Linked DNA regions of Medicago truncatula. The main gene of each other region encodes a partner of the protein of the gene in region 2 in a complex. Links are inferred from orthologs where the notes say so. Each region holds a gene or a part of one and is shown on either strand. Other genes may lie near its edges. The genes, in order: thioredoxin-like fold domain-containing protein MRL7 homolog, chloroplastic; protein PLASTID TRANSCRIPTIONALLY ACTIVE 14; protein PLASTID TRANSCRIPTIONALLY ACTIVE 12, chloroplastic; protein PLASTID TRANSCRIPTIONALLY ACTIVE 7.

What was found.
Region 1: protein PLASTID TRANSCRIPTIONALLY ACTIVE 14 (region 2) and thioredoxin-like fold domain-containing protein MRL7 homolog, chloroplastic share a complex: the UniProt entries of both Arabidopsis thaliana proteins name them as parts of the transcriptionally active chromosome (TAC) complex. The link is inferred for Medicago truncatula from reciprocal best matches to the Arabidopsis thaliana genes PTAC14 and MRL7.
Region 3: protein PLASTID TRANSCRIPTIONALLY ACTIVE 14 (region 2) and protein PLASTID TRANSCRIPTIONALLY ACTIVE 12, chloroplastic share a complex: the UniProt entries of both Arabidopsis thaliana proteins name them as parts of the transcriptionally active chromosome (TAC) complex. The link is inferred for Medicago truncatula from reciprocal best matches to the Arabidopsis thaliana genes PTAC14 and PTAC12.
Region 4: protein PLASTID TRANSCRIPTIONALLY ACTIVE 14 (region 2) and protein PLASTID TRANSCRIPTIONALLY ACTIVE 7 share a complex: the UniProt entries of both Arabidopsis thaliana proteins name them as parts of the transcriptionally active chromosome (TAC) complex. The link is inferred for Medicago truncatula from reciprocal best matches to the Arabidopsis thaliana genes PTAC14 and PTAC7.

Annotation. Positions count from the first base shown.
Region 1 is NC_053049.1:39,794,128-39,801,153, reverse strand, and holds thioredoxin-like fold domain-containing protein MRL7 homolog, chloroplastic, read right to left. Parts: upstream 3,017-7,026; 5' UTR 2,638-3,016; coding exon 1,880-2,637; intron 1,136-1,879; coding exon 1,051-1,135; intron 800-1,050; coding exon 688-799; intron 548-687; coding exon 444-547; 3' UTR 338-443; downstream 1-337. Other genes in the region: probable acyl-activating enzyme 18, peroxisomal, read right to left, coding at 5,555-5,668, 5,812-6,018, 6,268-6,369, 6,741-6,866. UniProt on the Arabidopsis thaliana protein: Plays an essential role in early steps of chloroplast development. Involved in the regulation of plastid gene expression. May positively regulate plastid-encoded RNA polymerase (PEP) activity through binding to FSD3 and CITRX/TRXZ.
Region 2 is NC_053043.1:15,106,442-15,113,549, forward strand, and holds the start of protein PLASTID TRANSCRIPTIONALLY ACTIVE 14, read left to right. Parts: upstream 1-4,083; 5' UTR 4,084-4,165; coding exon 4,166-4,216; intron 4,217-4,317; coding exon 4,318-4,467; intron 4,468-5,452; coding exon 5,453-5,590; intron 5,591-5,775; coding exon 5,776-5,901; intron 5,902-6,084; coding exon 6,085-6,213; intron 6,214-6,372; coding exon 6,373-6,462; intron 6,463-6,556; coding exon 6,557-6,707; intron 6,708-6,868; coding exon 6,869-6,978; intron 6,979-7,108. Other genes in the region: protein FAR-RED IMPAIRED RESPONSE 1, read right to left, coding at 573-605, 691-783, 903-995, 1,159-1,251, 1,332-3,475, 3,611-3,611. UniProt on the Arabidopsis thaliana protein: Essential for chloroplast development, especially for thylakoid formation. Involved in plastid gene expression, probably by maintaining plastid-encoded RNA polymerase (PEP) activity.
Region 3 is NC_053043.1:5,999,502-6,006,359, reverse strand, and holds the start of protein PLASTID TRANSCRIPTIONALLY ACTIVE 12, chloroplastic, read left to right. Parts: upstream 1-3,833; 5' UTR 3,834-3,965; coding exon 3,966-4,019; intron 4,020-4,837; coding exon 4,838-5,536; intron 5,537-5,672; coding exon 5,673-5,785; intron 5,786-6,088; coding exon 6,089-6,348; intron 6,349-6,858. Other genes in the region: BTB/POZ domain-containing protein At5g03250, read right to left, coding at 409-1,620, 2,433-2,502, 2,738-2,796. UniProt on the Arabidopsis thaliana protein: Involved in plastid gene expression. Acidic transcriptional coactivator necessary for the transactivation of many PIFs target genes (class B genes), particularly during the regulation of hypocotyl growth.
Region 4 is NC_053044.1:45,255,938-45,263,417, reverse strand, and holds protein PLASTID TRANSCRIPTIONALLY ACTIVE 7, read right to left. Parts: upstream 3,002-7,480; 5' UTR 2,898-3,001; coding exon 2,853-2,897; intron 2,776-2,852; coding exon 2,719-2,775; intron 2,636-2,718; coding exon 2,576-2,635; intron 1,094-2,575; coding exon 758-1,093; 3' UTR 528-757; downstream 1-527. UniProt on the Arabidopsis thaliana protein: Essential for chloroplast development, especially for thylakoid formation. Involved in plastid gene expression, probably by maintaining plastid-encoded RNA polymerase (PEP) activity.

The DNA.
Region 1 (7,026 bases), on a different chromosome or scaffold from region 2:
CAAAGTAAGAATCTCTCCCTTTGGATTCGCCAACGAATGGCGATTATTACATTAAACTTGTGTTCTTCAATGAATGTGCATTTGGTTGTATCTGAATTTATTTTGATTTTTTTAACATGGACAAAAACAAAAAGATTTTAAAAAGTTTATGATGGTTTAAGATAATGAAAACTGTATTACTTTACAGCCAGACAAATCTCAAGGAAAAGATTTCATATTCGATTTTCCTACCACATGCATTTTCAAATTTTGATCCATCACACAGACAGGCATGGCAACAAATCACTACCATACTCGTTTTAGATGATCAATTGAGAATGGAGGCTGGTCAACAAGATTTTTTTTAGGTTGGAATAGTTTTATATATTTAATTTCATATATTTCATCATTATTGTAATATAGAATTGCAGTGCTACAAGGACCATGTGACATTGAAAAAACAATTAATGACGTAAATACAAGGCCTTATCATCAACCCATGCAGGCTTCTTTGCATTGTAATAGAAAAATGCAATCATCTGAACCAGCTCATCCGCAGTTCTGAGTTCTGCAAAGACATAAGCAACAGTGCATCATTATGAGGATAGAACATAGACAGGAAGAGAGTGCATGCCTTGATGCCAAAACCAAACAAAAACTATGCTTCTGTTACACATTGAAGGTGAAGAGAATGAACAACAATCTCACCTTTCTCCCTGTACACCATCTTATTCCCTCGTAGAAACAAAATTTGAGGACATTCTCGAACTTTCAGGGCATAAGCCAAGTCTTTCTCGATGTTAATGTCAATCTTAATTGCCTACAATAGGAAATTTAAAGTAATACGTGATTATGGAAAACATAAGAGACTCCAGGTGTTATATGGTGAGGTTACCGCTTATAACACTTGTGTACTGATAAATAAAGGAAAAGATAAATCTAACTAGTGACTAGTGAGTGATCATGAAGTAAGGTTTATAGTGATGAAAAGCAGTCATCAATTTTTTCATTTCAGGTAATGTAATAGATGAAAAATGCAGTTTTAGTACACTGAAAAGAAATTGACCATACCCTGGGAGGTAAGCGATCTTTAGCACTCCAGTACACCTTTATTGCTTTCTCCAACTCTTTCAAATTTTTCCAGTTATCATTTGCCCTGTGGAATAGCAAAATCAAACACCAAAGGCTGGATTAAGCTATAAGTTGTTGGGGAGTCTAGAAGCATCAGGAGCAACAGCAAGCTGACTAGAACATGACATATTCACTCAAAAAGCATTGAGTATACAAAGTCACCTTTTTATATATCATTTATTTAGTCCAATCCTAACTAATGTGAGACTAATCATTCACATTTTAATTCCAACATAGGTACCTAGGAATTATTAAATCTATCAACATAACATTATATTAATGTGAGCATTTACATACACTCAAATTTTAAAATAAAAAATACATATAACTAACACAATTGTTACATAAATTAATTTCTAATACACTTTTTTATTTATTCCTACATTCAACCTATTGGTTTTTTGCCTTATAAATTACAGTACCTACGAATAAATTACAATCATCTTTTGGGAACAACTGACATCTTAAAAGCAAAAGGTAAGTAAATCATAGTCAACACAATATTTTGAAAATTTGGATTTTTTATAGAGAAGAATCAATTTCATGAAAGCACGTTAAGACTTAAGACATTATATACCGATTAAACTGAGTCTATAGTTGGACAGAAGCACTCAAGACTTGTTCACATGACTTCAAGCATATAACCAACAAATGCATGTTTTCTTTGAAAAGTGAGCATAAAAGTATATATCTTATATATGAAGTATTGCCTGAAATTTTACCATTTTTAACTCCATCAAAACCATATAAGAATAGGAATTAGTAGTACCTGTTATAGCGTTCAAAAACAAGTACGATTAAAGGGCTTGGATGGAAAGCAAAACTCTCCCACTCCAAACAATTGATCTCCTGAACCCAATTATCCTCAGTCTCCCCTTCCCAATCAATTTCAGCACCATCATCTCCTACAACATTCTTAATTGGATGCTTCTCAAAATACTCTGAAGCTCTTATTCCCCACCCGACATCTGTATCTAATGGCCAGCTCTCACTCTCTTCCTCAATCACCGCCTTCTCTCCACCACCATCTTCCTCTTCTTCCACCTCCTCCTCATAACTATCATCATTGCCCCGTTTTGGTTTTGATTCACAATCATCACCAACACTGTCCTTCATTATATCTTTATGATTCTCTAAAGCACTCGCATTTTGTTGCCGAATTGCAGCAAACGTGTTTTCCAGTCTGTCACGTACAAAATCTTCCACTTTCATCGCCTCACTTTTACGACCACGCCTTGGCTTCCTTGGAATTGTTGTTGGAAATTCATCCTCAGAATTTCTATCATCTTTATTAATGGATACACCATCTCCACTTTGGAAAATTTTCCCCTTGTTTTTTGGTCTTTGTTTGGATGTGGGATGATTAGGTTCGGGTTCGGGTTTTGAGCTAGAGTTAGTTGAAACAGAACATGATATTGAAATAGGCTTTACAATGTGATGAGTAGATAAAGTGGAATAAGATAAGAATCTCGAATGAGAAAAAGGTGAGAACGTTCGAGGCATAAGAGCTGTTTGGAGAATCAGCATTTAGTTGAATAGAAATTGAAAACTATGGTTGGGTAATTTTAACAAACAGTTGGTGCTCAAAACACGCGGGAACACAAATATTCACTAAACTAACTACTTACTATAATTGGGGTTTCAAACAAGTCGTGAAAAGAAGCTTCTGAGAAGAGAAGAGAAGAGAAGAGAAGGAACAAATATATACCTTGTTGTAGCTGTGATTATTTGAACGTTCTACTTTTCTTTTCCCTCTTCCTCCTAGCTCGTTGCTTTTTGGTAAGGTAACCATGCTATACTACTCAGTTTTCTGTATCGCCGCGTATGTATAACATCTTTTAATCCATTTCGGTAATTACTACTTAATAGTTTGAGCCATGCTACTTACACCTCCATAATTAGTAAAGAGGAATCACTTACAATTTGAATTCTTACATAAATATCCTAAGAAAAGAATATGCATCGTGTTTTTGTAATAATTAGTTAATCCTATGATTACGAGTCTTGCAATAAAAAAAATAAAATAAGAGTCGTCGTTTTATTGTTTATATTAAATAGTAAAAGATTTATTATAAAGTTAAAAAGAAGTATCTAAGTTTATGGCTAAGAGTAGACTTAGTTTGTTGGCGTATATCTGAGATATGTCTAATAAATGTTGGAATATTATTAAGAAATGTTTGACACTTGTGTTCAAGGCATCTATGAGAAGTGTTGGTGTTCAAAACGTATTTGACATGCAAGCATCTTAGCATGACCCTAATAATTTTGTTAACAACAAATTGATGTCGGGGTTATTATTGATCAGGTCAAAAAACTTGCTAACTTTTAGGTCAATTTTCTCTTTGATTCTCTATAATGTTAATATAAACTAACTCAAGTTGACGTTTCTCTTAACCATATAGATAATCAATATAGAGTAAGTTTTTGTTAACAATATAGAGAATCAAATAGAAGAGTAATCCAAAAACTCAAGGGTGAGATCCAACCCATTGAACACTTTCTATAACACCGTGCTAAGGTTTTTCATTGGCTAGCTCCAAATAAGATATGAATTTAAATATGCAAGTGTAAAAAAAAATGCAAAATCACTAGCACTACTGACAGAAAATGTCCCTTCTAAAACATGGTTAGGGTGAATGGTTGTAACTTGTAATTCTACAATTAGTTTTGTTTTTTCCAATGATACTTGTTAAACAATTTTTATACTTCATTCGTACACACATCACTGGTTAGTGTCACTTATTTTCATAACTTTGGCAGAAATTTATTCTATCCTATATTATTGTAGTTATAATCTCCAAGCTTCCAGAGACAAGGATTGATTGTCTTGTTCATCCCTGGCTTATTTATTTATGCACATGAAAAACTTAGCTAAGCTAAGAATCTTTGAATCTTTTTTTTCCTTACAAGAACCTGTAACTTATAGGAGAATAAGCGAACTGTATATTCTGCTAGCTTAATTCAGCTAATTCCTCTTTCGTGATCTCTAGCATAAATGCAACATAATCAAATACCTGTATGTAAAATGAAATCAAGAATGTAAATTTATCAGAATCGTTCCCTTTTCTTCACATTGCTATAAAAAATATCCCCAAGTTGTTTATTAAAGAAATAACGTTTTATAAATTAGGTCGAGATCAAACCAATGGTTCAATCGGTTCAACTATAGTTGAAATAGATGACAAATACATACACTAATTAATCGATTAAAAATAAAAATAAAAATGCAAAGATAAAACGGTTGAACCAAATGTGGTTCAACTGCGATTCAAGTAGACTGCAGTACAACTAGGATAAAACCAACGGACAAATTGGTCAGTTATCGGATCGGTTCAACCGGCATGTTTGGTTCAATTTTTGACACATTGATTCTAAGGCTTGCCACCCTTATCCATCAAAGATAACAATACATTTCCATCCCTGAAGTTAATCAAGTAATAATTTACATCCCTGAAAGTATACAACCTCCCTTAGGCAAAAGAAACCTACTGGTTGAATTGGTTTCATAAAACCTTTATACATGAAACTATATCATGAGAAAGATTTCTGTGTAATTTGAAACTAGAAGCAGCAGAGAGGTGGATTTTGAAAGCTTCGAAGAGGGACAATGCAACATATTCATGTATTAATTATCATAAAAAATTATTATTTTTCCATAAAGCGAGCACAAACTTGGAAGTTTTTATATTCTCGTATTAAAAAGCATAAGATATCTCCAAGAGAATGATATAATAAGAGATGCTTAATTTGAAAGAATAAGGTGACAAGAAAGGAAAATACTTGAGCAACTTACGTTATGAATGTTATCAGCATGATTGCGTGTTTCCTTTGGCAACATTGAAGCATCGGTTAAAAATTGGTACAAACTAGCGGAAGAAGTGTCGGCCTAGTTTGTTAGCGCATATCCAAGATATGCCAAATAAGTGTTTGAACGTCACTAAAAGATGTTCGACACAGTTGTTTAAGGTGTGTCCGAGAAGTGTCGGTGTCCAAAACGTATCTGACATGCTAGCAACTTAGCATGGCCCTACTAGTTTTCTTAATAACAACTTGAGCTTGGGGTTATCATTGAATTTGCATGTGCCAAAAAAAATGCAAAATTCACCTGCACTACAGACAGAAAATGTCCCTTCTAAAACATTGTTATAACAACATTGTATGAATGGTTGTAACTTGTAATTCTATAATTAGTTTTGCTTTTCTCCATGATACTTAGTAAACAATTTTAAAATTCATTCATACACACATTACCAGTGTCACTTATTTTCATAAATTTGCTTATATGCCTAGGACTTCACGTGGCAGAAATTTATTCTATCCTATATTATTGTAGTTCAAATCTCCAAGCTTCCAAATCAAATGATTGACTGTCTTGTTCATCCCTCACTTATTTATCCACATGAAAAGGACTGCCTGTCCTTGTCTGCAAGAGAATTCATGGTCACTAAAGTCTGCTCTGAACCGATAGTTCATGCTTCATTTGATCCCTCATCACCCTCCTCAGGATTTTGTTGGAAGATGTTCGAGGAAACTCGGGAACTATCTTAACAACGCTTACCTGAAATAATGTAATGAAAAGAGTTGGTTGTGAGCATTAGTTACATCAGTTAATCCCAAGTCAGTTCAGTTTTCAGTTTTCAAATAGTAAATAATAAGCTTCAATCAATTCATAATTGTTCAAATTCAACGAAAGGGGCAGACCTTAAACAAAGGATTTAGGTTACTTTGAATAGCTTTAGAGAATTTCATCCTTAGATTTTCCGCATTTGAATTGTATCCTTCCTTTAGAACTACAAATATAACAAGCTGTTCTGGGCCCCTATTTGCAGTTGCAACACCGACTGCAGCTGTCTCCAAAATGCACTCATCAGCCCTGTCACATACACGCTCAATTTCTATTGAACTTGTCTGCATATCAACAACAGAAAATTCTACGTGTAAATAACATTATCCAGTCCATATAATGCCAAAGAGCGATGTTCATGTTAAGTTAAACATACTTCATTAAGCCCAATAAAAGAATTAAATACACAGAAATTCTCCTCTTTTTTTCCATTTTCTCTCCTGACCTCCCTGGATTATGATTTTGACTACGCTCAGATTCATTGAAATTCGTAGTAGTTTTCTTATTATGCATTCTTCCTGAAAGAGTCACACCTTTATTCCACCAAGATTCATGGTGTCATCAGCCCTCCCCTGTACGATGATATAGCCACCAACCATTCTCTTGATTATATCTCCATGTCTCCTAAGAACCTGCTAATACATATATCATGATAGACATGACAAGTTATAGCAATAATAGCAGAACGAGACTAGCCAAAATTACAAATTAAGCCTATGTAATTTATAATGGATTGTTTGAAAATCCTTAATATATATCCAACTAATATACAGTACTTTTGGACATTTGATTTATCCAAAGTTCAGAATAAAAGATTTTCCTATCTTTTACGTCAAGAGTTGCACATGAAAACAACCCTTAAAAGCATTCAGAACACATGGTGAGTATATGTTGCCCTTCCCGAATGAAAGAACTGATATTTCAAAGTAGTTGTATTGAAATGTGTTGGTATTACATGACAAAATGGGAAAATCATTCTAAGCATACTAATTGAAGTAGTGGATACCTTTCCTTTATACAAGGGCATTCCCTTAAAGTAAACCTCATCATGGTCGCCATTCAGCAATCTATCAGATGCTCCAAGAGAGACAGGGAATAAACCCACTTCACCAACACAAGGAACATTTTCTGGCTGTCGTATTGGTCAAAGAGAGCAATAAATCAGAAAACCTATCAATAAGTTTAAGAGTGCAATAGAGACTGAAAATTACAAGAAAAGGTTTGCGAACATAGGGCTAGCATAAAAATAAGATTTGTACAGAAACAAGTATTGAAAATGATTCATGTGCAGA
Region 2 (7,108 bases):
CATCAATTTGTGTACTTCAAGTTTTAATATTCTTTAGTATTTCTTTTGGCATCAATAACATGATATTCCTTCCAAATAAAAGCTATAGATTTTTTTTAATCGGCAAATTATTCTCGTCGAGATTGTGTAAGGAACACGAAAATCTCGCGGATAAAATCAAACAAGAAGTAACGAGTACACATGAACACTAATACAACCACCTACCAAAACCACCCATAACAAAGCTAAAAACAGAAGCTTTATATTCCAAATTTGGTTGCTGCTAAAGGGTAAAAAACACTGAAGCAGCAACAAAACTGAACCAAAAAAAAAGCACACAACTAGCACTAAACAACCCATTCCATCTAACAATAATGCTTGACCAAAACAGCCGCACACTTGCTTGAGCAAAACAACAAACACTAAACAGCAGAACAGCATATTCCAACACAATTTCAAGCAGCCGCACACTTGCTTGAGCAAAACAGCAAACACTAAACAGCAGAACAACAATCACTAAACAACAATCCTGCAGACCCTCATGCCTTGATTGCAGAAAAACCAGACAGCAGTTCAAACCAAAAACAACAGTGTTATGGTTTTGTGACCCGAGAGTAATAAGGAGCCTGCAAAGAATATATAATTAACCACTTATGTTCATTATAAAAATGTCAAATAAAAACAAGACAACACCAAAATCTATATTTGCACCTTGTTTACTTGACCAAAATGTTCTTGATTTGGATTGAAGGAAGCTACAGTATTCACACTACCATTTTCACTGCTACAAACATAGTTATGCTCCTGTCATAGATATTAACATGCAAAAACATAGATAAATAGTATGCAATATCATATTGAATATTTCAAATAACAAAAGGCCAATCATTTTTAATTAAATGAAAGTAAGAAATCAGGTTTACTTGAATATTGTCTTGTGTCCCAGTCCCATCAAAAATTTGATACCTAAGAAACTCTTCATTTGTAGTATTTTGAACTACATGCAATCTTAGTCCCTGTCATAAAAAAAACTATAATTAGACACACCCACATGTACACACACACACTACTGTGTTCAACTGCATAAATAGTACCATTCAACCATTTAGAACTATGTTCACACTAAAATATTTACATAGAAATATTTACACTAAAATATTTAGTATATGCTTTGTTTACTTGAATGCTCTCTTGTGTGCCAATTCTATCACCAAGTTGAGATATGTAAAACACTTCGTCTTCAATTTCTTGACCTCTAGATGTACATTGGCCCTGCCATAAAAATTATTAAATTAGACATCTCAACTATTATACCTATAATATAAACAACTTGCTATAAATTTCATACTCACCTCTTCTTGAACTTGAATATTTTTACTACTTTGGTTTCTTTTTTTAGTTTTCTTTTGTGCAAGCTTCTTCTTTACAATCTGATCAACTATAGAAGTCTTCCTTTTTGAAGGAGGACGCCCTTTACTTCGAGCTAGTTTAGGATCAAGAATGGTAGCTTGATTTTGAGTTGAACAATCTTCTTCTACAATTCTAGGAGATGTTTCATTACATGGTAACTCAATTTTCATGTTTTGAATCAATTTCATCACTTTCACTAAATCATCGTCACTATTTATCCTCGTTGAAGCAAACTCATAAAAGGCATCACAAGCTTTACCCACGCGTTGCAATTCAGTTTTTCCAGCCAAATTATCAAAACCACATTTAATAAGTGTATACCTCCGCTTTATATCCTTCCTCCACCGTGCCAAAATATAATTAGATGGCACGAAATCTGTTTTCCCTATGAGCTTAAGCACGCAAAGGATGTGCCTACATAAAATGCCTTTAAATTCAAACAAGCAGCAGGTGCATTTTAACACAAAGTCTTTTTCATTGAAGAACACCATCAACACAATATCTTTCATCGTGTCATATACTTTCTTACTTTCTGTAACATAAAATATTGAATCCAAACCCTCCAATCTGTTGAAACATGCATGACAGTACATCATAGAAGCTATTTCCAATTGGAATTCCTGAAACTTTGCATTGGTAAATGCTTTTTGGAATTGGAACTCAAAGCCAAAGTGACTAATACAAGAAATAACTGTATTAAAAGAACGAAAGTCAGCAATGTTTTCCTTTTCAATTTTGTCTTTCAATGCATTATCATATTGCTCAACAAATTGCTTCAATGTTGTCTTTGAGCTTACATATCCATCAAAAAACGAGTTCATACTTTCACTTCGTTGTGTAGTTGACATTCCAGCCCAAAATGTGTCCCTTACATATGCAGGGACCCAACGATGTCGCTCAACAAATAACCCTTTCAACCATTCGTTATCCTGTAGTTTGTAACACTCAATCATATTTTCCCACCTCGTCATAAAATCACTTTTGGTAAAAGAATCATATACAATATCATGCAAAAGTGTTTTGATAGACTCGTAGTCAGAGTGACTACCAAACTTTTCTGGAATCTTTTTCATTAAATGCCATAAGCACCACCGATGACGAGCTTTCGGAAAGACAATCTCAATTGCATTCTTCATTGCTCTGTCTTGATCAGTGATTATGGCATTTGGAGAACTTCCATGCATACATTCCAACCATGTCTTAAATAACCAAGTAAAAGTTTCAGTATCCTCATTTGATAACAGAGCACAACCCAACAACATAGACTGACCGTGATGATTTACTCCAACAAAAGGAGCAAAAGGCATGTCATATTTATTTGTTAAGTAAGTGGTGTCGAAAGTTATGACTTCACCAAAATATTCATATGCAACCCTACATCTTGCATCTGCCCAAAACACATTTTGTAACCGACTTTCATCATCCACATCCATCACATAATAAAATTGACTGTTTTGCTTTTGCATCCTCACAAAATAATTTTGTATTGCTTCAGCATCTCCTGTCCCAAGTCGTAGTCGTCTTACTTTGTCTATGTAGTTTCTGCAGTCTTTTTCTCCAAATGTGAGATTTTCATACCCATCTGCTTCAACAACAAAGGATCGGAAATTTCTACTTACATTAATCCCAGCTTGGTCATTGAGTTCTAACCTCCTCTTCATTTGTGCCCCTATATTCTTGTTCGATCTAAAATACCTTGCTTTCCCTGGACTTAGATCATGATTATGCTCAAAAAAAACACTTTTAATTTTAGTTGTTCCGTCTAAAGAAATACACGCATTCAATCTAGCCTTACACTGCGTTTGAGTTATAGGATTTGGCTCTAACATATTCTTTGGGCGACTCACATACTTTCTAGCTCGACTACATGCTAAAGTAAAATACATTTTCCCCTCATCTCCTTTTTTTGAACTTATTTTTTTAACTCCAAAACCCACCCGTTCAGCATAATTCTTGTAATACTCAGTAATTTCCTTTTCAGATCCGAATGACATCCCATCACAAGGTGTTTCTTCTTCACAAGTACCATTTGCTTCTAAACAATCATTAGTTTCCAATTCATCACAAGACTCAAATCCTTTTTGCACTAACACAACAAATTAGAAGAAGAAAAAAAACCTATATTAATTGACTAACACAGTAAAGTAAATGAAAAATCAATCAATCGGCACAAAATTCCTTCTAATAATCTATAAAAACAACAAATACACAAAATACTTACTTGTAGGTAAATTAAAACTGAAATACTCTGCTTTAGTGCTATGAATCAATGGAAGCTATGATGGTAAGCAAAAACAGAGTTACATGAGAATGAATATGAGACCTGATTCAAAGAGACAAGAGCGTGAAAAAGAGAACGACGACCTTATATCACAACAATTGAGATTGAATGTCAATCAGATTCTTTGATTAGCGGAAAAGATGAGATAATTGCTGCGGGAGTGGTGAACGTGGGTTCTTTTCTGTATGTTTTTGTTTTGGTGAACGGTGGGTTTCACTTTCATTTCTATTAAAGGATTTTATTATTTATTTAATTTAATATTGTTTGTTTTTGACAAAGAAACAGCAGCGCGTAGCACTAACAGGTTTTCACGCGTCCGTAATATTCCGTATTCAAAATTTTCGTACGATATATCATTTTCCAATTAAATATTAAGGACCAAAATAACATTTAAGCCTTTTTAAAAAAAAAAAAAAACACGTGACATCACTCTAGAAGGAACATAAAATGCTGGATAACGTTGTCTTTACCATTTTCCACTCTTGAGTTCACTCAATGGCTTCTTCTTTTCCACTTTATCAAACAAGTTTCTTCTCAAAAACCCAGGTTCAGTTTACTTCACTTCATTTCCCTTTCCATTTTTACATCTTTTTCTTCTCTCAAATCTCAAATAACTTTTAACTAATACTTGTTTACTTTCTAAACAGTTCAAAGGTTTGCGCCATGGTTATTTGTGGCGACCCACTTACTCTTTTGGTTCTTGTGCTGAAAACAAAGTACAACCTGTTAAAGCTTCTGTCGAAACTGCCCCATTTCCCTTGTTTCAGCCTCCTAAAGATGAAGAAACAGCTTCTCAGGTAAAAACCCATTTTGCACCTTGTTTGTTTATTTATAGGTTGAAAGTAACAACTAGGACTAAGGAATGTTAAATTAGTTTATATATGCAAAAGAATGTTACCTTTTTTGGGTGCATATGAGACCTTTTTGTTGGTGGGCATAAAGGGAGTGTTTTAGTAGTCTTACCCTTAAGCCGGCCCTGGAATGTGTTAAAACAACAGCTCGGTTTAAGAAAATAAAGATACGAAAAATGCAAAAATGGAACATGATGTTTGGTAACAAAGTTCGGTCAATTGTGCCTATGTCTACATAAAGAAGAGCGGCTGCGATTCCTTTCTGTGAGTTTAGAGTATACAACTTGTACTCAAAGACTACGGTCCAGATTATAATGTTACCCCAGTTGCTCTTGTTTCGCTCGAGCAACCTATTCACTTATCATTAACTATGAGTTATGCCCAACAGGTTGATTGAGTTGAGTGAGTGAATGTTGTTTCCAAGGTTTTGAATAAAGGTTCTTAATTGATATTGCAACTGCAATGTGAAAGTTTTAGAGACCTTTGTTACTGCATTTGCGGCCCCATCAATGATATTTGTCTATGAAGGACTGAAACATGACATTATACAGATATCGACATGTAGACACCTATAATTTTAGACGATGAAAGTGATTGTATATAAACACACATGTCAATGTCGTGTCAGTGTCGGACACTCGGACATGCCTTAAATTTAAAGTCTCACTGCTACATGATTGCTCAGAGTTTTCTGCAATTTCAAAGATTGCAACAAAACGTTGACTGTGATTGCAATTTAAAATGTTGGATGGTTCAATAATTTGATGTGCTTTTGTGTGTATAATAGAGTAAAGTTAATTTTGAGATGCAGTATCTTCATTCCTATAAGGCCAGTTTTTGGATGAATTCTTTAAAGGGTCGTCTGTTTTTATGAAATTGGGATATTGAGTTGTGATATTGTTTCTTTGTGTTAATTTATTTGTTCCTGTAGTTGGAGCCTGTAGATCCTGATTTCTACAAGATAGGATTCGTCAGAAGTATGCGAGCTTATGGAGTTGATTTTATGGAAGGGCCAAATGGTTTCGGTGTATATGCTTCTAAAGATGTCGAACCTCTTCGCCGACCAAGGGTGAGTAGCCTCATACAAATCCTATGTAAGACTGGTGGCAGTGCATCATAATGAAAATAACGGCACATATAATCAACTCCTAATTTGTATTTTACATGTTAGTTTAATTATTTGTATGATGTTCTTCATGATTATATTCTGAGTAGTTGTCCAAGGCTGTTTTCCCTAACGATGAACTTGGGCAGGTTATAATGGAAATTCCTCTTGAATTGATGCTAACCATAAGCAAGAAACTACCATGGATGTTTTTCCCTGATATAATTCCCCTTGGTCATCCAATATTTGATATTATCAACTCAACAAATCCAGAGGTAATTGCAATTCTCCTCTGAAGTCATTAGTTCAAAATATGATATAATTGATTTCTTGATTGTTTTCATGGTAAAATATATTTAACCAATTTGTATTGTAACTGTTGTATATACTCAAAAAAATCAAAACCGTTAGTTTTTCTAGTTATCTGCTTAAAGTAATTGTGTAAATCTTTGTGGCAGACAGATTGGGATTTACGATTAGCATGCCTTCTCTTGTTTTCATTTGACTGCAAAGACAACTTTTGGCAGTATTACGGTGACTTCTTACCCAGTGAAGATGAAAGTACTAGCTTACTTCTAGCTACAGAGGTGCATAAAAAATAGATTTTCTTTATCATTAAACCATTGGTTGATATTTAGCCAGCATCAGATGTATCTTGTAATTTTAAGATTTGAATAGCTACATTTGGAACATACCACAGTTTTAGAGTTCACTTTACGACATCTCATGTTGATTTGTATATCTAGGAGGAACTTTTGGAGCTGCAGGATCCCGATCTTGCTTCTACAATGAGAGTTCAGCAACAACGAGTGTTAGAATTCTGGGAGAAGAACTGGGTAGAGAGAAAATTGTCCTTGTTGAAATTTTTAGTCTTCTATGATGCATATCAATTAGTTTTTGTTCTCAACAAATGGTGTTACTCTTGTTCAGCATAGTGGTGTGCCGCTCAAAGTAAAACGTCTTGCTCGTGATCCTCAAAGATTCATGTGGGCAGTAGGAATTGCACAGTCACGCTGTATCAACATGCAAATGAGAATGTGTGCACTAACTCAACAAGCGAATATGCTGATTCCTTATGCTGGTAAGCTTTGTTCACATCAAATGGTCTAACCAACTATTGTATCATTTTCTACTCATGCATAGTAGCGGTTCTTGTTTATTTCACATTTGATGTAAAGTTTTTCTTTCCTTTTTGATAAAACAACAACAGAGGTAACTGATTAACTTAGTCTTGCTTTTCAGATATGCTGAACCATTCGTTTGAGCCAAATTGTTTTTTCCATTGGCGTTTTAAGGACAGGATGCTTGAGGTTCTTATAAATGCTGGACAACGGATAAGAAAGGGAGATGAGGTAAATCACTTTATACTTCTTTGAAGTATGCTTTTCGTGATTCCTTTCTTATATTAAACGTTACTGAGTGCAGATTTTGTTTTTATTCTTATAATATTGTTTGGCCTAAACTAGATAGACTTTTTGTGCA
Region 3 (6,858 bases), about 9.1 Mb from region 2:
CTACCTCTTTTTCTTGTTATAACCATGTTTTGTGATTTTTACATATATTAAACAAAGTAGTAGTATATTTAATATGTCGATTTTGTGTATAGATGTTTCCAAAATATCATCTTGTATATGACATCTTCAACTCTTATTTCTCATCTCTCAACACTTAGTAGCAGTAATTAGAATTTTGAGGAAAGAAAATGTACATAGAAATTTAATCTATGATTTTTATTTAGGGACAATTTTTTTACTCATTAATTCATCAACATTGAAATCATCACAAATCTCACTATTTCCTCCACAATCTTAGTTCTTCATAAATTTTCTACTATGCCAAAACATCTTACAATCTTGAAGCATAGAAAAGGAGTGCATATGAAAAATGGAATTGGCAAAGGAAGGTATACAAGATGATCTAACCTTAAGGTATACATCTATTGCGTGGTATATACCGTCGTCAAGGGGTCTGGCATAATCAGGAATTGCAACAGCAAGTGCCTGAAATTTAGACAGGTTTAGATTAGCATCTGAAGCGACTTCGGCAAGATATCCATCTACCAAGTTAGCGACCATTGTCATCGGTGTCAACGTATCAACCCCAGCAATTAATGTTCCAATTTCAGTTATACATGGAGAAGCAGATAAAGATGCAGGCTGGTAGATAGACATAAAATGGTCCAGAATCCTCTGAATACAATCTATATCATAAAGCGTCTCGACCGAGTATCCCATATTTGGAATGAGAAGATCCACAAGTGAAGCCTGATCTAGTTGAGCTCCTACCCTTTTCTCTAAATTCTCTTTGCATGATGGACTTGCACGTAATATCATTGCGGTTCGGAGCAACCGAAGGAGATGCTTAGAGGATGTGACACCTCTCTTATTAGGAATCAACTCCACAATTTCTTCTAGTAAACCCCTTTGATCAGCTTCAGAAGTTGTAGGGATTGTTGCATGATTTGTATCTTTGAAACTTGATTGTCTATTCATCAAGGGAAGAAACCGCCTAAGGTAATATATAAGAGATGCAGCAATAGTCTCCGATTTCATTCCTTTTGATTCAATAGCCAAAATCAATCTTTTATATAATGGTAGGCTCAACAAAGACACATCATAAAACCACCAATTATCACCAACAGACTGTGGTTTACTCTCACAAGACATTCCATTCAACAACTCATGTTCCTCTTGATTTTTCGCGTCATTACGGCCTGTCACTTGCCAATTGAACAAATCTGGATCCGAACAAGCCTTCATAGCCAAGGAATCAATGCATCTAGAAAAAATATGGAGATCTTCTGCAAAGTTTTGCACTTCCTCGCATGTCTCGAGCGCTTTGATGGAGTCTGGCCAATTGCTGAAAACTTCATTTAGAAAAGATTCTGTGTAACCAATAAGATTGTCTGCACCATAGTTTTCAGTCATTTGGAGATGCTCTGCTGCACATCTTAGACTAACTACATTCAATGCTGTGATTTCTAATTTCACACCATAGCAAAATTTTGTTATGAGCTCAAATGTTTTGGCTCCACCAGGAACATCATGAAGTTGCAAAATACTACTTGATCCATCCTCACTTGTGGACTCTGCAATTAGTTTCTTTAGTAGTCCACTTCTAGAAAGTAATGGAAACTGCATCAAAATCACAAATGTTGAAAAAAACTAATCACCAACATGAATTATATACTTTAATTTAACATGCTGCATAGACCAACAAAGACAAAAATTTAATTATAAATAATAGAAATTTTGAAAAACACTCTCTAACACACATTTCACTGTATTTTTGTACTTTTGTTGCAATTTGAACGAGTCTCGATATATTAAAAATCGCGTCCACTGATTCATTGGGTCTCACACAAAATTTGATGATGTACATAATATTAATATTGAATATGGCTCATACATAGACACATAGGAGGGGCAAGGGGCGGGGGAGTTGAGCTAGCGTAGCTCCCTCCGATATGGTTCATGGGTATTGTTGTAATATGAACCGTAGTACTATATATATGGCTTGTAACACTGTAAACACTAATTCACTCAAGTAATATACGAAATTACAGTCGCAGAGGTAGGCACAATTGGCCGAACCGACAAACGACCACATTCCATTGTTTCCAATTTTAAGTTTTCTTTAATCATTTGTTACTAGTTATTAACTCTAATTCACTCAAGTAATATACAAATTTAGTCACAAAGGTAGGCACAATTGGTCGAACTACATAAACAAACGATCATGTTCAATTGTTTCCGATTTAAGTTTTCTTTAATAATTAGTTACTAATTGTTGTTCTAATAATTAACTTAAGGATAATATTGAAATAAATTAACTAATGTTACATTAAGAACAATATTTCACTTATTTTAGGGTGGTATGAGGTACTATGTGAGTGGATTTATAAGAAAAAGTGTGCAATAAGTTTTAAAGTTAAATAAAAAAGTACCTTGTGGAGGAGAAAAGAAATTTCGCCAACTTCAATAGTAACATCACTTGGAAGTCCTGTTGTACAAACCCTTAAATTAAAAAACAAGATAAGATCATGGTCAATTATCCAATAAGTAAGGGAATTTGTAGATACAATTGAGAAACCTATTCTCACTATCCAAAAAAATCAAATGAAATTTAAGGTTCTATTTTGAGATAGGGAACATTAACAAAAACAACAACAAAATTACACACATTGTTAATGTCACATATTATATATAATAATATAAGGATCAATGTTGATATAGAGAAATGAGTGCTGACCATGTTTGACCTTCACGACGAAAAGCTTCAGGCTTTGATCCCAGCTTCATGGATGCCATTACATGGATTTATTTGTAATTACAGATTAATTGTTTGAAGATTGGTTGATAAAATCAAGAGACATGAAATGAGAGGAGATAAGAGAAGGAAGAGAAAGGTGGAAGTGAATGTGACCATCCTCCTCAGATTCACAGGTGGCAAGTCTAAGGCCTAATAACTGAAACAACGATAAAAACGGTTATGTGTATTTTTTTTTTTTTTTGGTCAGGTAGCCTAGTGGCTGGAGCTCACACATTTTAAATGTGGAGGAGTGGGGTGTCCGGGGTTCGAACCCCGACCCCTGCATATAAAATGCATTTGTCCCTACCAACCGAGCAGAGCTCACGGGACACGGTTATGTGTATTTAACAATCGAACTTTTATTTTTTAATTATTATATGTGTGCGAGTAAAAAATATATATTAAATGTGTCCCGTGAGCATATGGTGGCTAGATTATTTGATTTAAAAAAAATTAGAAGTGTATTTTTTATAATTTGGAATCATTTGTGCGCAATTATTGAAACTGATTCTTTCAACTTTGTGGAAATCCAAATGGAGAAAGACTCTTCCTTAAAGTTTTAATGTTGTAGCAAGATTTTTTTTTTTTTTTTAAGGAAACAAGAGCCTTCTTTTTAAATGTTAGTTTTAACGTTTTATTTTTGTTTTAAAACAATGGAATATAAGTATTAATGATAGTTTTGTGAGAAAAAATTAATGATCGTCAAGAGTATTTTATTAAAATGCACATCATCAATTAAATAATTTTTTAATTTGTGTACAAAACTTATAAACTAAAATGAAGAGATTATTTTTGTTATAAATGTTAGTAGATAGATTAATATTTTCTTCTTCAACTAGATTTAAACCCATAAAATAATTTCTTCTCTTTCATTTAAATTTGAACTATAAATATATTCAAGCAAAATTAAAAAAAAACAATCAAACATGTGAGAATGAATTTATTCAAAATCAATTTTAGTTACCTTAGAATCAAACACACTAAAATTTATTCAAACATTTAGACATTAATTAAAACATATTAAGCATTTTAAAAAAGGAAATAGAGAAAAATGGAAAATGATAAGGGAGGTAGTGTAGCAATAGAGGTAGAACAGATGAGTTGAGCGAGCTTCTGAGTTCTTCTCCCTCTCCGGACGACGTTTGAACTTCTGCAAAACGGCACCGTTATGTCTTTAATTCAAGCCAATCTTCTACCCAACTTGTCCTTCAACCATTTTCAGGTTAGCATCTTCCAAACTTTAATTATTTACCGTCTGGGTTTCTTCAATACTCTTTCTTAAACCCACTTTACATTTCATTAATTCATACCATATATATAAAAAAATCAATTTTAGAATTGAATAAACTCAAGAATTACATATTTTATCACTTATTTTCCTTTAAAGTTATATATCTTGTTTCATTATGCTTCTGTTTGCTAGAAAGAAAAAAAAAAAGACTCGTTTTTTTAACATTTTTACTAGCTAATATCTTATTTTGTTAAGTTAATTCAATTAGCTTATAGCTTATTACTTTTTCTTTCAAAGTTTTAAATATTAATTAAACATATAGTTTTTATGTCATTTCATATTTACAAGCTACTTCAACAACTAATTTGACTAAGCACTACATATTCAATCAGTTAGCTTATCCGGTATAAGTTCATCCATTATAAGTTAGCTTATCAACTATGCGCTGTTTTTTTTTTTTTTTTTTTTTTGCCAAACAGAGCCATAATGGATGGTTGATAAGTTAGCTGATAGCGGATAAGGTAGCTGATTGAATTTATAATGTTTGGTAAAGTTGGCCGCTGAACTAGCTTGTAAATATGAAATAAAAAAGAAATGTTCAATTAATATTAAGTTTTTTTTTTTTTTCAATTAAGATTACCTCGTGAGAAAATGATAGTTACCAAACAAGTCTTTTTTAGTCATACGAGCTTATAAGCTAGCAGCTACAAGTTAGCTTATCGTGCTTGCCAAACCGACCCTATGTTGTATTACTTTATAACATGTAATATGGAGCTAATTTATAGTGTAAAATGCTTGCGACCATGTAGACATCAACGTACTTGGTGGGTGTTGGCAATTTACCATGTAGAGTTGGTTTCAGAAAATCAAGAAAGAAGTTACCTTCATATAGTTGCATAAGATGTGAAAAGAATGATGAAATAAAGAAAGATGAAGAAAATAAAGATGAAGTTATTGATTATGTGACAGTTGAACGTCCACCTTATTATAGTTACATGGACTCCACCTCTGGTCAGCTTGAGCCGGCCTCGGGTGCTAGAGCAAGTATTCCTGAAGTTGAGTATTGGCCTGAAGGAACTGTTGAGCAAGTCAGGGCTGCTAGGGCGCCTACTCCGATGGGAGAATCGTTAGGTTCTCCGTCATATGGTAGTAACCCTGGTAGTAGGAGGAAGAGTTATAGAACTTCGGTTTCTGGTTCTTCCTCTGAGGGTAACGTTGAGGGGAATGTTGAATTGGATGACCCTGGTCTTCCTGAGGTTTTGGTTGAACCTCAAGAAGATTCTGAGGAGTTCACGTCCGACTATGTTGTTTATCAGTCTGAGCCTGAGGAAGAAGAGACTGAGTACAAACTTGATAAGAAATTTGGAGCTCCTCATCCATTTATTGATCCGAAAATTAAAAAGCCGATAGAAGGAACACTTACGAGTGAGGAACTGTGGTGGAATTGGAGAAAGCCGGAGAAAGAACAATGGTCCAGATGGCAAAGGAGGAGACCTGACACTGAAACGGTTAGTGTGCATTAAATTGTCTTGGAAAAGTTTTTTGATGCTGTAATTACAATGTGTGTGCTTGTGTCTGTGTATGCATTTACCGGTTTTGTGCAGTCTTACACCTTGTGTCTGAATTTCTCTATAATATTTTCAGGTTTTCCTGAAAGCCATGGCAGAAACTGGGCAAGTAAAGCTTTATGGTGAAGAACCAACATTAACAGAAACTGCTCTTTACCGAGCCAGGCGCCATCTTTATAAGGAAGAAAGGTATTGCGGACTTTTATGCTCACAACATAGTTCTGATTAGAATAGAAATGAAACTGGCGTTTTCTGTAGTGAATCTTAATGCAGAACATATAAGAAATAAGAAGTACTGCAAACAAGAAACTCAATAGAAAGGTTGAACAGTAGTTTCTTGAAGAATGAGTAAATTACTTGATGTGATTAACATCATGGATTAAGGAGAGTAACCTGATAAAGTTTACCACAATATGTCATGGGAATTTGTTATAAGGAGAGTTACCTGAAAAAATTTACTAGGAAAATGTTGAAAATTTCCAATTTTTGCAGGCTTGAGGCTGAGCAAGAGAAACTGGAAAGGATTGGTCCAATTGCGTACTATTCCGAATGGGTAAAGGCATGGAAGAGAGACACATCTCATGAAGCTATTCAGAAGCATTTCGAAGAGACTGGTGAAGATGAAACTACTCAACTAATTGAAATGTTTTCCAACCAAACTGACCGAGAGTATCGTGTAATGATGGGGACTGATGTTCGCATCCGAAGGGATCCTTTAGCAATGAGAATGAGGGAGGATCAGATAAAGCAAAGTATTGACTTTGAAATTAATATTTGTTTGTCATGTCTTTGTTTTTATTTTATTTGAGTCGTCTTGTTATCTATCCTTTTATCTTCCTTTTTATGATTCTATGATCATTCAACTGTATTTAGTATTGTTTGCCAAACAACCTCTAGATCCTACGCATAGAAGTTTAAGCAATTAGAGAAGGGCATGAGAATAAGTTGTCCATCTAAGACATACTCCTATACACATGAAAGTCTACTAGGTATGAATTGTGAGATCCCTATTGCTTAGTTGATAATCAACTTGATAGGGACTTGGATATTATGGGGTGCCCAGTGGAGTATTTAAGTGGTTTGGTTCTAAGTATTTAAGGGCGGATTTTCTAAGTATTTAGATACTTATCAATTGTAATTAGAACTGGTTGTCGGTGGCTCGGAAAGGACTACCTGCGGAGGGGCTGATTGGAATTGGCTGAGTAAAGCGTCGTAGAATGCCAGTCGCCGAGACATCGGCTCTCAATGGCAGTGCTATGTTA
Region 4 (7,480 bases), on a different chromosome or scaffold from region 2:
TCAAAAATTAAAAAATAATAAATCTACTCAAAAACTAACAAATAAAAACATTTATAACAACTAAAATGTAAGTTAATAGCATTATAATTACTTACTTGTGATTTTGTTGAATAAATTTGGTTGGATTTTCTATAGAGATTTGTGAGAGAATTTTTTTTGAAGATAAGATGAATAATGGATGAGAGAGCTTCTGCCAGATTTGTAGCAAAAGATCCTCGGCAGTTAACTACCGAGGTTTTCCTCGGCAGTTAACTGCAGCCGGTTTTTAAATTCTTCGGCAGTTAACTGCCGAGTGGGCAAAAACGTATTTTACTCGTATTTCTCAGCCATATGAAATGTGTCGACAACTTTACTCGTGTTTCTCAGCCATATGAAATGTGTCAACAACAATTCTCATTATATAGTATTATATCAATATAATTGTGACAGTTAATATATATTACTATGTATTACTACAGTTAATATGTAGTGCTATCATTTTTCATTTCATTTCTTAAAAGAGAGAAAAATATCAAATCAGAAAGGACTATTAAAAGAGAGGATGAATACTATGAGAAATTGAGAATAGTAATAGTTCTTCCAATGCACAAGATACGGAATTAGATTTCCACGTGCTCTCGATGACTTTGATTTGCATGCATACAAACAACTGCGGCTAACTTAGACAGACATGAAGGCATCAACTGTGCTAAGTGAATCAAAGAAACAAGTTATTATCCCTAATGTAACATCTTAGCTTAAGAACTGTTATCTAAAGTTATGTATAAAACTCTTTCAAATAATGAGGCCCAGGTTTGAAGGGATCAGACTCAGCATACGCCTCTGAACGGTAAAATCCGGCATCATTCACCCGATTACTCAAAACATGAAGAATGGCTTTCTTCTCACCTCCATACTCATCCATGTTGCTCTCAACATAAGCATTGGCCTCGGCTGCTATCTCATTCACAAAATCATACTTATTATCTTCTGATAACAGTAACCTCTCTATGTCCAATTGCAAGAGTTTTCCCTCATCCTTTATCTTCCTCACCTGCTCCTCGAGAAAAGGAATGCGCTCCATTTTGTAGGGAAGAGATTCATCCTTTTTTATCTGCAGCAAAATGAGTTTCTGCTTAAATATTCAAGTTCATCGGGCCTGATACTCGTGAAACCTGTGTCAATAGCATGAATCATGTTCGCCAGCATAACCATTATGCATTCATTCAATCAATACAGTTAGAAATGAAGAAATAAAAGCATCTTGATATGCATACAGCTTCACTATGTGCATCAAGATTCAACGGAAAATGAGTATCTATTTTGAGTGAGAAACATGCCAAATACTGGGAGATGTGCAACCATGATAGAAAGAAGCAAAGACACGAATCAAATTTAATTTGGTTTATCTTTACCACATGAAAGCAGTTATCTTTTTTGCAAATCATTATGTTCATATCGACAAACACCTCAGTAGCAACAACAGTTGGGACATTAGGGAGTCCGGGGAATCATCACACTAGACCAAGAACAACTACATAATTGACTTGGACACCACATTTTAACCCAAAACATTAAGACATTGGGTGGATCCTCTGACACTTGATACACCAACAGCAACTACAACACTATAAAGGTCACATGCATGGCAAAGAATCCGCAAGAGAATGCAGCAAGGTGGTGATATCATGCAAAAACAAAGACATGAAAGCTTAGGCAAAACGACAGGGTGCAAATGTAAATATAAATGATGTGAGAACTACAAAATGTGATCCTTTTATATATCCTCTCTTGGCTCTTCTCCTCCTCATTCCCTGTCATGCTACATATTCCCTTACTGTGTTCTTTAATGAATCACTAGAGACTCTTGTAATACTTTTTCTTTTGTGAAGAATACAACATACAGTTCAAACACCACTTTTTTTTTTTTTTTTTCCTATGTTCCTCCTTGCAGCAACACATTGCAAATTACATCGCAAATGTTGTAGCATGTTTATTTACTTGGAACAGCAAAAACTATAACATACCTTCCAATATTCCCTTGCAGCCTCACATCACAAATGTTATAGCTGTTAATTTGGAACACCACAAATCTATAATCCAGATCGCTAATTCTGTTTCACAATTCCAGCTTACTTCTGTAAGTGTAACATGCAATCCAATAAATCCATCCACTACAAACTCTTTAACCTCTAGTCCCCTAACTTTCCAACTTTAGAATGTTACAATTATAAGTTTGAAACCTTTCCTTTCCGGAAAATGAGGAAACGGGGAAAAATTCAGCGCCTCTTCGCATTGAGCCTAATGTCCCAAGAGAACTACAAACACATTTACTCAACATTAATTCTTCCTAACCCTTCAAGCTAGATATATTTAAAATTAAAAATTTGTAACAATTTAGCCACTAATACTATTGACTACTGAGAAAGTTAGACAACACAATCTTTTCAATGCATTCTTTATTAATAGATGAAATTCATGTTAATTTCATTCATTTTATTTTATTATTATTATTTGGGAAATTTATACAAACAGGTAAGAGGCAAGCATAAAAAGAAAAACATTGTGAGACAAGAAAGATGGATGCAGAAGATACCATTTTCCTTCGCCTCCAGATTCTTCGTCCACCACTTTCCTTTCGCATTTGGATTACCATCTTGAAGAACAAATGCATGAACAAGTTCAGTTTCATGTTGCAAACAAAGAATTCAACAACTTTCAAAGTTATTATATTTATACCTGCGAGTTAACACTCAGGCTCGGGCTCCATGAATTTCCAGCTCTTAATTCTATCTTCTGCAAGAAAATTACAAGATTTTGAAGTAACAGTTTAGAAAAATATAAAGATTTGAAAAGAAAGATATGAAAATTACAGGTAAAGTCGAAGAGAGGGTGAATGTGTTGACGCGGAGAGCCATAGCTGGTATTTACTGTACTTTGGTTCGCCTTATCTCAAAACTATAAAGGAATTTTCTATATAATATTTGGATAAATAGTTTTTTTCTCCAAGAAAAATAATAATTTCCATCCCTATGAAATGAATAGTCATAAATAGTTCATCAATATGTTCATGTTTTAAAATGGTATTTGTGTACTAGTCAAAATAATTTCTAACATTAAGAGTCTCTCAACGGTGTATATAGGGACAGAATCAATTGACATCATTGGGTCAAATTTAACAATACGACACAAACGATTATTCTTTACTGTATAATTTTATTGCAAGACCGATTGTTTGATTGAAATATATTATAACATAAATCATATCTACAAAATTTTACATTAATCAAAAACTATTTGATATGTCAATTAAATACATCAAAATTAACTTGGTTTTCAATAGCTCATAAGACAATAATTTTGTGGTATCAATGAACATATAGAATAGTTTATAATTAATGTAAAATTTTGTACGGTAAAGAGTTATTGTCGATGTCATGTATTAAGTTTGACATGTTGGTGTCAATTGATCATATCTCATATTTTAACAAATGTGCACTTTTTCATTTTTATATAAAAATATCTTGTCAAATAATGCCACTAAAGCGGTTGTTGATAATAATCCTCTATTGGGATTTGTGGATGGTACTAATGTTGTTGATTCTATGCATCCAGAAGACATGGTTGCTCAAGGTAATGAGAATTTGAGTGATTTAGCAGGTACGGGACCCCTTTATGGTCAGGGTAATATTGACATGAGTTTTGATTCAGCTGACATTTTATGTCAAGATGATCATCAAGAGGAAGCAATATTAGATACAATTCCTTTGGGAGGTAACTCCATTGTGGTGACAAACTCAGACTTGTCAAACTTCAGTGCATCTGTTATTCATGACATGCAAGTTTTAGGAGTTGTTCCTACGGAGGCCCAACAAACGGTGAATTTTCTAAGCGAATCATGGGCTAACATGGCTCGGAACAATGAAATTGTTGATTTGGACGAAAATACGAGTCAACCATTTCAATTGGTGGTCCCTAGAAAGAAGAAACTCAAGAAGAAGCAACCTGAGACGGGCAGAGGATTCAAGGTGGGTGCTTCCAGCCGTTCGCCTCATTAGTTTGTTTTTTTTGGCTTTCTTTATGTTTTGGTTTTCTTTTGCTTTTTTGGAGGGTTTTGGTTTTTGTCCCCCCTGTTCTTTGTACTTTTTTCTTTCGTTTAATATATGTTTTGGGTACTGCAGCAGGAGACCCCTCTGCATCCCATCTTTTGCTTAAAAAATAAAAAAAAAATCTTGTCAAAAGTTTAAATTAACAAATCCTCGTGAGCTTATCTCAATTGGTAAAGATAATGCATAATTTATGCATGGATAGGGGTTCGAACTTCAGACACCTCATTTATTCACTTTAAAAAAAATGATTTTTAAACTGTTGAACCAAAAAAGAAAAAATATTAATGATAACTAAAAGACAAACATGTAAGTAAATTTCAATATAATTTACATCCAATTTGCTAATTTACAGCAACTTTATTTATGAACAAAAAGAATTAATGAAACATATTTGTATACATTTGTGTTTATTTTGATTTGTTTCATGTTTATAATTGTATCTTTCAAAATATAAACATGTTTATAATAAAGTAGGTCTAAGTTAGCAAAGTGAATTCAAGTTAACCAATATTTTTTTGATGAAAGTTACAAAATTAATTTTGAGATCAACTTTAATTACGTGGCAGAGTCTAGTTAGATAAATTTAATATCCCTGTCGTTATTAACTTGTTTTATTAAATAATTATTACTTTATATAATATTTAGTTATTAAAATAATTAATTAAAATATTATTTTTATATTTATTTTTTGGTAAAGATCAATATACTGTTATTTATTCATTACAATATTATTTAATTTAATATATTATCATCTAATGAATAAAACGTTATTAATATATTAATTTAATGATAAAAATATTTTGATAATAGATAAAATATTTTATGGAAAATGTTTTAATATTTTTCATCACATCCTTAATTTAGTATATTATTTTAATGATTAAAGGTTTACTAAATTAATAATTAAATATTTTCCATCACATTTTTAATTGAAATATTATTTTCCATCACATTTTCAATTTAATACGTTGTTTTAATAATGAAAATATTTTATAAAGCAATAATTATTGAATAAAACAACTAAATAATTTTTTTTAAAGAAAAACGAATGAATAATGACAATGTCAATAAATTTATTTTTTAAAATTTGATTCACATGTTTTTTTTTTTCTTTTTTGTTTTAAAAATAATTTTTTCTTCTAAAAATTTTAAAATATTATTTATTGTACCAAAAAAAATACACTCTTATAAGTAGGTGTCTCCCCTTTCATCACAAATCACAATCTTTCATACTCAACCTAATACTTTACTCATATCACTTTCTCTAATCTCATTTATATCATGTCTCGTTCATTACGCGTCATGGTTCAATTTGACCATATGAGAGATCCATTTGAAATGTATATAACTCCAAGAAAAACGTTATTAGGGTTGAATAGGCAACTTAGCCACTTTTATAACTTAGCTTGTAATGATCCTTGAAAAGTGACTCGAATTTCTTATGGGGAGCCTTTTATATATTGTTGGGAGATGGTAATGACAATGGCACTGTATATCATGAATTTAAGCTTATCCACAATGATGTTGATGCTTAAGACATGTTTTTGAACGAAGAAGGTAGAGAAAGAACAATTTATTTGTATGTTAAGTCTGAGTAGATTATGGTGGATCTCGACATTATGTTATATTATGTTTATTTATTTAAGTTGATGTAATTTTGCTTGAGTAGTGTTGTTTTAATGTTGCATTGTGTTTTTTTTGAAAGAAATTACATTTCACATTTATTTTGCCTTGTGTGATAATATATTTAATTTGCATACCGATAAATAATAATAAAATGACAAGTTAAAAGTTAATAACATTTATTGATGAGTAAGAATTTTTTTATGAGAATGTATGGTCAGCCGACACAATCCACGTTTTATCACCACTTTTCAGTCATAATGCAATTACTTCGGACGATCTCTTTTTAGTTTTTTCATGGTTAGATTGTGGCAAATGAAGATGCCTTGATATTGGGGCCAGTAACCCGAGTCTTTAACTACTTGAAACTTTGTGTTGTAGATGGCGTATTCACTTCATATCAAGACTACTCACAATCAAGTCACCAAGACCAAAGCTCCCAACAACCAACCAATCAATATTAAGACAACATACAAACCAGCTACCGATGTTGAGACTCCCAACAACCACATGAATACACAAGCCCCTTGAATCATACCCATATACAAGCACAACCCAACAACCACAATGGTCCCAAAAAGTGGTCGACAAAATATTGGGTAATTATCATGCAGTGAACTGTCTCTGGACTGGTTCTACCATTCACAATTGATTGACGCAGTTTGTCGAGTGTCGTCTAAATCAAATTGGAGGCTTTGCTCTAATATTATAAATGGGTCTGTAATATAAAAAATTAAGGGTAATTTGAACAATTAACAATTAAAAAAATTAGTTGGTAATAAAAATCACAAGTTAACACTAAATGTTGTTTTGATTTTAGTTTGCTTTGTTGCTAGTGGTAGATGCATGTGGTCTTCATTAGGTTTCACTTATTTTGTCCATTTATATGAGATAACAAGGGGCAACAAATAGAGGAACAACCAAATATGAAATGGCAAGAAAAAAGATGAACCATAAAAAATAAACAACTAAAGAAAGAGAAATAAAAATGGACCAATAGATAGATAAATCAACCTAAGAAGAAGAAGAAACAATCAAAGAGAATAACCATAAAAAAGAACAACCAAATGAGAAACAACCAAAGAATGAAAAATAATCTTATCAAAATTACATATGACCCAACAAAGACAACAATATAAGAAGAATTACCAACCAAAGAGAGAATCTGATAGAGCGATGAGTAACATAATAAGGAGAGACAATCGTATCAAACAATCATGCTAAAGAGAGGAACCAACATAGAGAATGTAAACAAAAGAAGGGACACTAATCAAAGAGAATGACCATTGGAGAGATGAACAACCAAAGAAGTAACAATCGTATTAATCAATCATAATGGAGTAACCAACCAATTGAATTTCAACCAAAGAAGGAACAATAATCAAAGAGAAGACAAAGAAATAGAAGAGCAACGAGAGAAGAAACAACAACCAAAGAGATGAACCAACAGAGAGACGAGCAATCAAAGAATGAGAAACAACCAAAAAGATGTATCAACATAGGGGAAAACAACCAAAATAAGGGTTTTCAACCATGTTAAAATGCCACGATGAAGAGAGCGACCGACCAACGAAGAATCCATTTGTAAAATTTTACCAAATCAATCAGACAACTTTCCCACAATATAACTCTAAACCAATAGAGAAGCACATTAATATAAGTATAAGCATACCAAAACAAACTCCACAATATAAGAAATCCAAGTTGCAAGAAACAAATTTCCTAAATATAGATAATACCTACAACAACATTTGCAATAAAAAAATTGT